3 linked regions of the Callithrix jacchus genome follow. The protein of the gene in region 1 binds, or shares a complex with, the protein of each later gene. Links are inferred from orthologs where the notes say so. Each region holds a gene or a part of one and is shown on either strand. Other genes may lie near its edges.

Region 1 (4,110 bases):
AGAAGGGACAGACCTCAAGGTAATAAAAGCCATTTATGACAAACCCACAGCCAATATCATACTAAATGGGGGACAAATTGAAAGTATTCCCAATGAGAACTGAAACAAGACATGGATGGTCACTTTGACCACTTCTACGCAATAGGATACTGGAAATCCTAGCCAAAGAAGTCAGACAAAGAAAGAAATAAAGGGAACTCAAACTGGAAAAGAGGAAGTCAAACCATTGCTATTCACCAATAATATCTGTTCACCAATCATATCTGATAGTATACCCAGAAAATCCTAACAACTTATCCAAAAAGCTCCTAGACCTGATAAAATAATTTAGTTAAGTCTCAGGTTACAAAATCAATGCACAGAAATCAGTAGGATTGCTAAACATCAACGACCAAGCTGAGAATCAAATCAATAATTCAATCCCTTTTACAACAGCTGCAAAACAAAAACAAAAAATAAACAAGCAAACAAAACCTCAGGAATATACTTAACCAAGGAGGTGGAAGATTTCTGTAGGAAAACTATAAAACACTGCTGAAAGAAATTATAGACAACACAAACAAATGGACACATATCCCATGCTCATGGATGGGTATAATCAATTTTGTGAAAATGACCATACTGCCAAAAACGATCTATAGATTCAATAAAATTCACATCAAAATACCATCAACATGCTTCATAGAACTAGAAGAAAACAATCCTGAAATTCTTAAGGAACCAAAAAAGAGCCCACATAGCTGAAGTAGCACTAATCAAAAAGAACAACTCTGAAGATATCATATTACCCAACTTCAAACTATACTAAAGCTACAGTTACCAAAACATTGTACTGGTATAAAAGTAGCCACATAGACCAATGGAACACAGTAGACAACCAAGAAATAAAGCCAAATACTTATAGCCAACTTATTTTAGACAAAGCAAACAAAAACATAAGAGTTGGAAAAGCACACCCCTTTTAGTCAACAAATTATGCTGGAATAACTGGCAAGCCACAGAATGAAACTGGATCCTCATCTCTCACCTTATACAAAAATCAACTCAAGATGGATCAAGGACTTAAATCTAAGACCTAAAACCATAAAAATTCTAGAAGATAATATCAGAAAAACTCTTCTAAACATTGGTTTAGGCAAAGAGTAGTTCATGACCAAGAACCCAAAAGCAAATGCAACAAAAACAAAAATAAAGAGATGGGAACTGATTAAACTAAAAAGCTTCTACATAGCAAAGGAAATAATTAGCAGAGGAAACAGACAACAGACAGAGTGGGAGAAAATACTCACAAACTATGCATCTGACAAAGGACTAATATCCAGAATCTAAAAAGAACTCAAACAAATCAGCAAGAAAATAACTTGCATGAACAAGTAGGCAAAGGTCATGAATAGACACTTCTCAAATATGCAAATATCCAACAAACATATGAAAAAATGCTTAACATCACTAATTATCAGGGAAATGGAAATTCAAACCACAGTGCAATCCCACCTTACTCCTGCAAGAATGGCCATAATTAAAATTAAAAAACAATACTTGTTGGTGTGGATGTGGTAAAAAGGGAACACATTTACACTGCAGGTAAGAATGTAAGCTAGTACAACCACTATGGAAAACAGTATGGAGATTCCTTAAAGAATTAAAAGTAGAACTACCATTCGATCCAGCAATCTCACTACTGGGTATTTACTCAAAGGAAAAAAGTTATTATATAAAAATGTCACTTGCACATGCATGTTTACAGCAGCACAATTTGCAATTTTGAAAATATATAACCAGCCCGAATGCCCATAAACCAATAAATGGACCAAAAAAAATGTGGACTATATATACAACATGGAATACTACTCAACCATAAAAAGGAACAAAATAATGGCATTTGCAGCAACCCAGATGAAGCTGGAGAACATTATTCTAAGTGTAGTAACTCAGGTATTGAAAAACCAATTACCATATGTTCTCACTAATAAGTGGGGGCTAAGCTATGAGGATGCAAAGGCATAAGAATAATATAATACACTTTGGGAACTTGAGGAGAACAGTGGGAGGGGGTAAGGGACAAAATACTGCACACTGAAGACAGTGTACACTGCTCAAGTGACAGGTGCACCAATCTCAGAATCACCACCAAAGAACTCATCCATGTAACCTAAAACCACCTATTCCTGCAAAACTACTAATATTTTGTTTAAATGTGTAAAATATCTGAACAGATACTTCATTAAAGATACACAGATAGCAAATAATCACATGAAAAGATGCTTAACATCATGTCATTGGAGAATCACAAATTAAACCAACAATGAGATACCACTACATACCTACTAGCAGGGTGAAAATCCAAAACATTGATAACAGTGAGTGCTGAGGAGAATGTGGAGCAATGGCAAGTCTCATTCATTGCTGGTCGGAATACAAAATGGTACAGCTACTTAGAAGAGTAGCTTGACAGCACTATTCACGACAGCAAAGATATGGAATCAACCTAAATGCCCACCAATGACAGATTGGATAAAAAAAATTGGTACATATACACCACGGAATAGTATGCAGCCATAAAAAGGAATGAGATCATGTCTTTTGCACAAACATGGATGAAGCTGTAGGCTGTTATCCTTAACAAGTAAATGCAAGAACAGAAAATCAAATACCACATGTTTTTACTTATAAGTGGGAGCAAGTGATGAGAACTTACAAACACAAAGGAAACAACGGACACTGGCATCTTCTTGAAGTGGGAGCTAAATGATGAGAACTTACAAACACAAAGGAAACCACAGACACTGGGGTCTTCTTTCTTCTAGGAGAAAGGAGAGGAGGAGAAAAGATAACTATTGGGTAATGAGTTTATTACCTGAGTGATGAAATAATCTGCACAACAAATGCCCATGATATGAGTTTACCTGTGTAACAAACCTTCACATGTACACCTGAACCTAAAATAGAAGTTGGAAAAACAATTAAATGAACAAATAAAAATAAAAGATTCATTCACCATGATCAGTGGGGTTTATCCCAGGGAAGCACGGATGGTTCAACATATGCAAATTAACAAACATGATACACCACATTAACCGAATGAAAGATAAAAACAACACAATCATTTCAATGAATACACAAAAAGCATTTGGCAAAATTCAACACCCTTTTGTGATAAAAACTCTCAACAAATTAATTATACAAGGTATGTACCTCAACATAATAAAGGGCATATGAGATAAGGCCACAGTAATATCATAACCAAGGTGAAAAGCTAAAAGCTTTTCCTCTAAGATCAAGAACCAGACAAAGTTGCTCACTCTTGCCACCTCTATTCAACATAGCACTGGAAGTCCTAGCCAAAGCAATTAGGCAAGTGAAAGAAATAAGAGGCATTCAAATTGGAAAAAAAGAAATAAAATTGTCTCTTTTCCCACATTACATGATATTATACATAGAAGATTTTAAATATGCCACCAAAACCCTGTTAGAACTAATAAATAAAGGGAACTGCAGCATACAAAGTCAACATACAAAAAGCAGTTGGATTTCTATGCACTATCGAAGATGGTCTACCCAAAAAAGAAAGAAAACCCATTTAAAATAGCATCAGAAAGAATAAAACAGAAATAAACTTAACCCAAGAGGTGAAAGAACTGTATACTGATAACTATCAAAGAGTGATGAACAAAACTGAAGATACAAATGAATGCAAGATATCCTATGTTCATGAATTGGAATAATTAATGTTAAAGTAGCCACACTACCCAAAGCTATCCACAGATTCGATTCTAATGGCATATTTCACAGACATAGGAAAATAAACAATTGCAAAATTTGTATGGAATCACAAAATACTCTGAATAGCCAAAGTAGTTGTATAACCAAAGCAAATAAAATCAGCAATTGCAAAGATATCTGTATTCCACGTTCATTGCAGGATTATTCACAACAGCCAAAATATGAAAACAACCTAAGTGTCTGCCAACAGATGAATGAAGAAATTGTGGTACACACACATACACAAAACACACACACACACACACACACACACACACAGGCAATGGGTTATTATTCAACCATAAAAAAAGAAAGAAAACCTGTCATTTGCAACAACATGGATAAACC
Region 2 (4,169 bases), on another chromosome or scaffold:
TGGATGGATGAGTGGATGGACAGAAGGAGGGATGGAGGCATGGATGGATAAATGGATGAGCGGATGGATGTATGATGAATTTGGGAAACAGATGGATGAATGGATGGGTGGATGGATGGGGGAGCAGATGGATGGATTGATGGGTGGATGGATGGGCAGACAGTTGGATGAACGGATGCGTGGATGGATGGGGAGACAGATGATGAATGGAAGTGTGGATGGATAGATGGAAGGATCGGTGGGTGGATGGTCAGATGGATAGATGGCTGGATGGGGGGAGCAGATGGATGAACGGATGCGTGGATGGATAGCGAGACCGATAAAGGGAACTGTGGATGGATAGATGGATGGGTGGGTGGGTGGATGGCCAGATGGATAGATGGATGGGTGAGGGGACAGATGGATGGAAGGATGGACGTATGGACGGATGGATGGGCAGATGAACGGTTGAAGCAGCCTGGCCGAGATGCAGGAGGAATCCGGGCGGCGGGGGGCGGGGAGGGACAAATTCCTGCAGAACCCACCGGCCCCTTCTAGACCCCGGCGGGCCTTAGCTTCCCCTCCGAACAAAGGGGGTGTGTGACCTGCTGCGCAGCCCTAAACTGTATACTTACCCACTCAGGCCTCAGTTTCCCCCACTATCCAGCGGGGTTGGGGTCCCGGCCTGGGAGCCACGCGAACGTCCCACGGAGCTCTCTTCCCGGCCGCCTCCTGCCGGGTCTCTGACCGCGCCCCCTCCCGTAGGGCCCGGGTCACCTGACTCCAAACCCACCTCCTCGCGGGGAGGGGCCGGGCCTCGGGGACCCAGCGCCGGAGCGTCGCCAGGCAACAGTCCCCGCCTGCTCTCCACCTCCCAGTCTCGGCCCCGCCCCTTGGGTGGAATCCCCGCCCCCGAATCCATCATGTGACGGGACCGCCGCTTTCGAACAATCCCGCCTTCGCGTTGCCGTGACAACCACTTTCTATGGGCACTTTTTCTAGGTCCCGGTCCTTAGTCCCCCGTGCGGGCGCGGGCGGATCTCTCGGGCTCCGACTTCTTCTCGGGTCACCTTCAGGCTTCAGTCCAGGCACCCGACGCCTCGTTCCCCTCACACTGCTAGGGCCGGGTTAGGCCGGACCGGACTACATTTTCCAGGAGGCTCCGCGGCCAGGCGTAAACAGCGCGGTGCTGACTACATTTCCCAGACAGCCTTGCAGCGGCCCGGGTCCTGAAGCGTCCATTTCCCAGCGGCCCTTCGTGGCGGGACCGTAGCCCTTCTCTGGAGTCTCAGCGCCCTAAGAGACTACCACTCCCAGGAGACTCTGCGTCGCGCAAGAAAGACTACGCCTCCCAGAGGCCTCTGCGGCGTGGCGACCGGAAGCGGCGGGCGAGTCGTGTCCTTGCGCGTGGAGCCGAGCGACTATGGTGGCCCGGGTGTGGTCGCTGATGAGGTGCGTGGGGCCGCCGGATAGGACCTGAGTCCCCGAAAAAGTCCCTTTTTGTGGGCACCCTTGTCTCCAGTCTGCTTGCGATCTGTTCCTCGCTTCATGTAGAGTTACCTTCCCTTCCTCCCCCGCCTATGGGCCAGATAGGGAAACTGAGGCTCCAGCGGGGTGGGGCTTCCCTAGGTCTCCAATCCCTCCCCTCTTGCCTGCCAGCGAGCCCTTTGCGTTCCGCTCACGGTGTCTGCCTCCGCCTCCGAGCCTCAGTTGTCTTCTCTGTGAAGAGGCAATGCCCGGTGAATCCTGTCGCTGGCGTGGATGGGAGGTGAATGCGTGCTCGGAGCGAGTGACAGCGGGCAGGAGGCGTCCAGGGACACTTGGTTTCTCCAGGGCTGGAAGGCTCTGGAAAGTCAAGGATCTTTTTCACTGCCCCTGCTCACTGTGGGAACTTGAGTGACCCACTCTCCCGCTCTGGGTTTCAGTTTACCGATTAAAATGGCGTCCAGCCGCCCTGCCTTGCACATTGTGAATCGAGTGCTGTATATGATAGGGGTCTGGGTCGACGGTGCTACATACAGAGTGTCACCCTGTGGACGGTGAGCCCCCGGGAGGGTCTGACTCTCCCCGTGGGCCTAGGCTCCTAAGGGTGGCGGTCAGTGTCCGCTAAGCTTCTGCTCCTCCCGTCCCTACCCGCAGGTTCCTCATCAAGGGAAGTGTGGCTGGGGGCGCCGTCTACCTGGTGTATGACCAGGAGCTGCTGGGGTCCAGCGACAAGAGCCAGGCAGCCCTAAAGAAGGCTGGGGAAGTGGTTCCCCCGGCCATGTACCAGTTCAGCCACTACGTGTGTCAGCAGACAGGCCTGCAGATACCCCAGGTACTCCAGGCTGGGAGCGAGGCCAGGGCTTGGCGAGTGGCCGACTCTGGGGCTGCCTCCAGCCCTGCATGATGCCCTCCGTGTTGGTGCTGCCTGATTCTCAGGCCTGTTCTCCTCCCTCTGTCTCTGGGGCTGGGCTGCTGGGTCTTTTCACCGGTTCTTTCTGCCCATCTCTCTTCCCAGCTCCCAGCTCCTCCAAAGATTCACTTTCCCATCCGTGACTCCTGGAATGCAGGTAGGCACCTGGTTTCTTTGCTTGTGGGGGTTGCTGCAGACACCCCAGTCTAGCCCGTCTCCCCATGTCCTGGCCACTTTTTCTATCCATCCCCCGGCCTGCCCCACACGTGTCTCTTAGGGATCTAAAAGGGAACCGAGGCCAGGCCTGGTGGCTTATGCCTGTAATGCCAGCACTTTGCGAGCCTGAGGTAGGAGGATCACCTGAAGTCAGGAATGTCAGGAGTTTGAGACCAGCCTGGGCAACACAGTGAAACTCTGTCTCTACTACTCTGGAGGCTGAGGCAGGAGAATCTCTTGAGCCCCGGAGGTAGAGGTTGCAATGAGCCAATATTGCGCCACTGCACTCCAGCCTGGGCAACAGAGCAAGACTCTGTCTCAAATAAATGAGTAACAGGGAAAGGAGTGGAGATTCTAGGGAAGGGGACGAGGGCGGAGCCCTTGAGGGCTGGACTGTGCACCGCCTGTTAGAATGGGAGGTGGGAGGCCTGGGCCCACAGCCGAACTTGTCCTACGAGCTTGGACAAGGCAAGGCGCTGCCCCTCTGCTGCCTCAGTTTCTGCTGGAAGTTGTTTTTAAAAAGACTTGCTTGCTAGGAGTGGTGGCTCATACCTACAGCACTTTCGGAGTCTGAGGCGGAAAAGCTGTTGGAAGCCAGGACTTTGAGAACAACTTGGGCAACATTATGAGACCCTGTCTCTTCACAGAGAAAATCTGCTTTTCTTTTTTTTTCCTTTTTTGAAATGAAGTTTTGCTCTTGTTGCCCAGGCTGGAGTGCAATGATGTGATCTCGGCTCACCGCAACCTCTGCCTCCCAGGTTCAAGCGATTCTCCTGCCTCAGCCTCCCGAGTAGCTGGGATTACAGGCATGTGCCGCCATGCCCGGCTAATTCTGTATTTTTGTAGAGATGGGGTTTCTCCATGTTGGTCAGGCTGGTCTTGAACTGCTGACCTCGTGATCCGCTTGCCTCAGCCTCCCAAAGTGCTGGGACTACAGGCGTGTGCCACCACGCCTGCCTAATTTTGTATTTTTTTTTTTTTTAATAGAGATGGGGTTTCACCATGTTGGTCAGACTGGTCTTGAACTCCTAACCTCAGGCCATTCATCTGCCTTGGCTTCCCAAAGTGCTGGGATTATAGGCATGAGCCACCGTACCTGGCAAAAATTTTTTTTTTTAATTATTTTTTTAATTTTAGACGGGGTTTCACCATTTGGTTAGGCTGGTCTTGAACTCCCGACCTCAGGTGATCTGCCCGCCTTGGCCGCCAAAGTGCTTGGATTACAGGTATGAGCCACTATGCCTGGCCCAAAACATCGTTTTTAATTAGCCAGGCATGGTGGCATGTGCCTGCGGTACCAGCTACTTGGGAGGCTTATGCAGGAGGATTGCTTCAGCCCTGGAGTTCAAGGCTTCAGTGAGCTATGATGACACCACTGTGCCCCAGCCTGGGCAACAGAGGGAGACCCTGTCTCTAAAGAAACCAAAACCCCTAGAGTTTAGGATTTCCCAGGGCTTGGAGGCTGGGGGAGGCTGGGAGGGAAGCGTCACCAGTGGCCGTCCCTTCCCCACAGGAATCATCACAGTGATGTCAGCTCTGTCGGTAGCCCCCTCTAAGGCCTGCGAGTACTCCAAGGAGG
Region 3 (4,170 bases), on another chromosome or scaffold:
CTCAAAAAAAAAAAAAAAAAAAAATTAATGAACACATTATATTCATTCATTCATTTATATATGTCATAAACATATATATGAGCATCCACTCAGAGCCAGGGACTATTGTTAGTACTGGAAATATAGCAGCAAACTATATGGACACAGTTCCATTGTGGAGTTTACGTTTTAAAGGTGACTGTGCAATGCACATTATAACATCAGGTAGTGCTAGGAGCTACAAAGCATAATAAAGTAGGATGGGATAAAAATACAGGTGATGCAAGGAAGGCAAGAGTAATCAGAATACTATTTTGGATCGGGATGCCCTCTCTGAAGGGAAGGTGACATTTGAGAAAATAACTGAAGGTAATAAGCTAAGCAAACGTGTGAGTAGAGCCCAGGGCAAAAGAAACACCTAATGAAAAGGGAGTGAGGTACATGCTGGAGATTACCAGGAGAATCTGAGTGAGGCAGTAGAAAAATGAAATATGAGAAGAGTCAGATCAAGGGCCCACAGCAGACAGTTTAAATGTTATTCTGAACGTGATGGGATGTCTCTAAAGGACATGACATCATGTTTGCCTTTTAAAAAGTCTTTTACTAACTAAATGTCTTACTGGTTTTACTACTCCCTCCTAAACAATGGACACTAGGATGAAATAGTAAAAGCAGTAAGACATTTAAGATGGGGTTGCTGGGCACAGTGGCGCACACCTATAATCCCAGCCATTTTAGGAGGCAGAAGTGGGAGGATCATTTGAGCCAAGGAGTTTGAGACCAGCCTGGGCAACACAGAAAGACCCCATCTCTACAATATTTTTTTTAAAAATTAGCCAGGGATGGTGGCACATGCCTGTGGTCCCAGCTGCTCAGGAGGCTGAGGTAAGAGGATCCCCTGCACTCGGGAGGTCAAGGCTGCAGTGAGCCATGATCATCCCACCGCACTCAAGCCTGGGTGACAAAGTGAGACTCTGTATCAAAAAAAAAAAAAAGATGATGGAGTTTAATAAAGTGGAAAGGATCTTGACAAGTGGAATATTCTGGATAAGTTGACAAAATCAAATATGATGAGGCTACAGAGTCATCTGCTTGGGGATTAAAGTTCTGAGAGTTGATAAGATAGCAATTTCAGGAAGCTTAGACATCTTGACTTAGAGCTATAAAAGGGTACATTTTTTATTACCAAGTTTTAATTAGTCTTCTTATTCCCCAAATGGGATCCCAAAAAGTTGACTGAATTAACTGAAAAGGAGGTCATTCAGGTGGGTCTGGTCTAATCACATAAGCCTTTTAAATCTGGGTCTAGAGAGGAAAGACGGAAGTAAAAGAAATTTGGAAGTCAGAGAGACAAGCTCCTGGTAGCTTGCACGAAAGCAAACATCCGTGCTACCAATGGCCTCTGGAGGCCTTGCTATGGAAGCTGTGAGCAGTGGCTGGCAAGAGGCAGCAAGAAAAGAGGGACTTCAGTCCTGTAACTGCAAGGGATTGAATTCTGCCAACAGACTGCATGAGCCTGGAAGAGGACCCTGATCTCCAAGAGAACCACAGCATGGCTAATACTTTGCAGCCCTGTGTGACCCTGAGCAGAGAACCCAGATCATCCATGCCCAGACTCCTACAGAAAGTGTAGGAGTCATTCACGGGTGTTGTTTCAAGCTGCAAAATTTGTGTTGTTACATAGCAATAGAAGACTAACACAGGTTCGTTCCACTTTCCTATGGAAGGGGCTGCTTCTCTTACCCTAGCAGCAAATAGAAAGAGAAGCGAACTTGAAAAAACAAAGCTTGACTTTTATGATCTCTAACTCACTATTCCTGGAGATTCTGTTCAATTACTGCTTGAGTCACAGTACTTGTTTTACTATCTACAACATTTTGCCAAAATATCAACTTTCTGAAAATCATGAGCAATGCAAACAGGTTTATTTTCAATTTTAGAAAGTAACTTTGGTTACTACGTAAAACTAAAAGCAACTGGGTGTTTTGGCTCCTTGAATGTCAAAGTAGTCTTAGCGCCTGGAGACACAGATCCCTGTCCTAATCTCAGAAATGAGCCACAAGGTCATGACTCCTGTCTTTCCTTACCAGGAGTTTCAGCTCCACAAAGGAATTTCATCTTTCGCTTTTGTTTGAATTACGAATAGCAGTTCAGAGGTGTTCTCAGATGCGAAAAGACAGTCCCCTCCAGATAATTATAAACTTGACCCCTAAAATGTGGACTCTCTCTAGAAGTCCAAGAACCTCCTGATCAAGGATGCAACAAGCCGCGGCTCCGCTCCTCCTGCCGGGAACTGTAGTTCTCCCGCGGCGACCTTCAGCCGTGGAAACCTATCGCGCGCCCAACCGGCGACCCAGACGACAGCAGCCAGGATTGGTCCTGGATGGGGGCAGCGCGGCGCTGATTGGATGGCACGCCCGCGAAGCCGCGCCTCCCGCTACTCTCCACACCCCACCCTGCTGTGGCAATAACCTCAAGTCATCCCACTCCGGCGAACTCTCTGGTGGCTGCCTCACTGCCAGCCCGGGCCTCTCCCAACAAGGTTGGCCCTAAGACTCGCCTCTGTCCTGGAAGCGAGGCAGCGTCCAAGACTCCCCAGTTTGCCGCTGACGGTCTTAGGTCAGCTTCCTCACACGCCCTCGGTAGCCCCAGTGCTCACCTGGGCGGCGGCGGTCACACCCGATAACTGACAGACCCGCAGCATCTCGGTGGAGCGGACGGCGGCACTAGTGAACGCTGGAGCTGCAGCGGCGGCGCGAGTAAGTGGAGTCGTGCGTGCGTATGTGCGTGCCCGCGTCCGCGCCCGGCGCACCGGAAGGGCAGCCGACTCCACTGCGCACGCGCAACCTCTTCTCCGGTACCCGACTCGGCAGCTCTTAAAGGGTGGGTTCTACCCCGGCTGCGGAAACGCCAGCTCCGGGCGATTGGTGCGAAGGAGGCTAGAAGGGCGGATTCACTTTCCGGGTCGCACTGAGGCTACAGGTCCTTATCCCCAAGCTGGGGTTACTAGGTGAACGCGGCGGGAGGGAGGGCCTTCTGAAATCCAGTCTTCAGCCGCACGTGTAAAATGGACACCTGTGACTCTTCAAAGAATTAAAGCAAGAAAGCATCTCAGCCGGCTCTGTGAGCTGGATATTTCGTAGGAAGGAGTGGATTTGGCCAAAGTTACGTAAACAATGGAATTGTCTCAGTTTGCGAGTTTGCTTCGTTTGACAGCCCTTCAGGGAGTCATCCTGATTGCCGAAGACGGTGAACGAACACTGTAGGGACCCTTGTGCGGAACGTGTCAAGTGGCACAAAAAGGATAGGAACACAGGTTCTTTGGACTCCACAGCTTCTGCTCCTTCCAGAAGCTTTCTCCCAAGTTTTTACTTTAGTAACATCATTTTGGCTGCAATTGTGGATGGGTTGGAACATGGAAGGTCAATACAGAAGCACGGTTGAAAGTATTCCATTAGGCCGGGCGCGGTGGCTCACGCCTGTAATCCCAGCACTTCGGCAGGCCGAGGCGGGAGGATCGCTTGAGCCCAGAAGTTCGAGATCAGCCTGGGCAACACAGTGAGACCTAGTCTCTATACAGAAAAACAAAAACAAACAAAATATACATATATATATGTATGTGTGTATATATATGTATGTATGTGTGTGTGTATGTATATATATATATATATATATACATTTTTTTTTTTTTTTTTGAGACGGAGTCTTGCTCTTTCCCTGGAGTACAGTGGCACAATCTCAGCTGACTACAACATCTGTCTCCCGGATTCAAGCAATTCCCCTGCCTCAGTCTCCTGAGTAGTTGGGACTACAGGCGCCTGCCCCCACACCTGGCTAACTTTTTCTGTTTCAGTAGAGATGGGGTTTCATCATGGCCAGGATGGTCTCGATATCCTGACATGATCTGCCCGCCTCGGCCTCCCAAAGTGCTGGGATTATAGGCATGAACCACCGCGCCTGGCCGAAAAAAATTTTTAAAAAGAAAGTATTCTACTGATTCTATAATCAAAACATGTTAAATATTAAAATATGGTATTAATACTTCATGTATACTCCAGTATTAATATGTTAGTATTAATACTATTACCATCTTATTGCAATATCGTGGAAACTAACTTTTCTATCTTCTATTGAGTTTGCAAAGTATTCCAGGTCTTAACTGGGTAATTTATTACAATATAGTATTCTTTC

The links.
Region 2: APOOL (region 1) and MICOS13 share a complex: the UniProt entries of both Homo sapiens proteins name them as parts of the mitochondrial contact site and cristae organizing system (MICOS) complex. The link is inferred for Callithrix jacchus from reciprocal best matches to the Homo sapiens genes APOOL and MICOS13.
Region 3: APOOL (region 1) and IMMT share a complex: the UniProt entries of both Homo sapiens proteins name them as parts of the mitochondrial contact site and cristae organizing system (MICOS) complex. The link is inferred for Callithrix jacchus from reciprocal best matches to the Homo sapiens genes APOOL and IMMT.

What each region holds. Positions count from the first base shown.
Region 1 is NC_133524.1:82,523,959-82,528,068, reverse strand, and holds the start of APOOL (MICOS complex subunit MIC27), read right to left. Parts: upstream 2,801-4,110; 5' UTR 2,729-2,800; coding exon 2,699-2,728; intron 1-2,698. UniProt on the Homo sapiens protein: Component of the MICOS complex, a large protein complex of the mitochondrial inner membrane that plays crucial roles in the maintenance of crista junctions, inner membrane architecture, and formation of contact sites to the outer membrane.
Region 2 is NC_133523.1:5,376,730-5,380,898, reverse strand, and holds the start of MICOS13 (MICOS complex subunit MIC13), read left to right. Parts: upstream 1-1,369; 5' UTR 1,370-1,402; coding exon of another isoform or gene 1,403-1,431; 5' UTR 1,432-1,559; coding exon 1,560-1,747; intron 1,748-2,118; coding exon 2,119-2,296; intron 2,297-2,479; coding exon 2,480-2,531; intron 2,532-4,103; coding exon 4,104-4,169. UniProt on the Homo sapiens protein: Component of the MICOS complex, a large protein complex of the mitochondrial inner membrane that plays crucial roles in the maintenance of crista junctions, inner membrane architecture, and formation of contact sites to the outer membrane.
Region 3 is NC_133515.1:26,804,308-26,808,477, reverse strand, and holds the start of IMMT (MICOS complex subunit MIC60), read right to left. Parts: upstream 2,801-4,170; 5' UTR 2,684-2,800; coding exon 2,639-2,683; intron 1-2,638. UniProt on the Homo sapiens protein: Component of the MICOS complex, a large protein complex of the mitochondrial inner membrane that plays crucial roles in the maintenance of crista junctions, inner membrane architecture, and formation of contact sites to the outer membrane.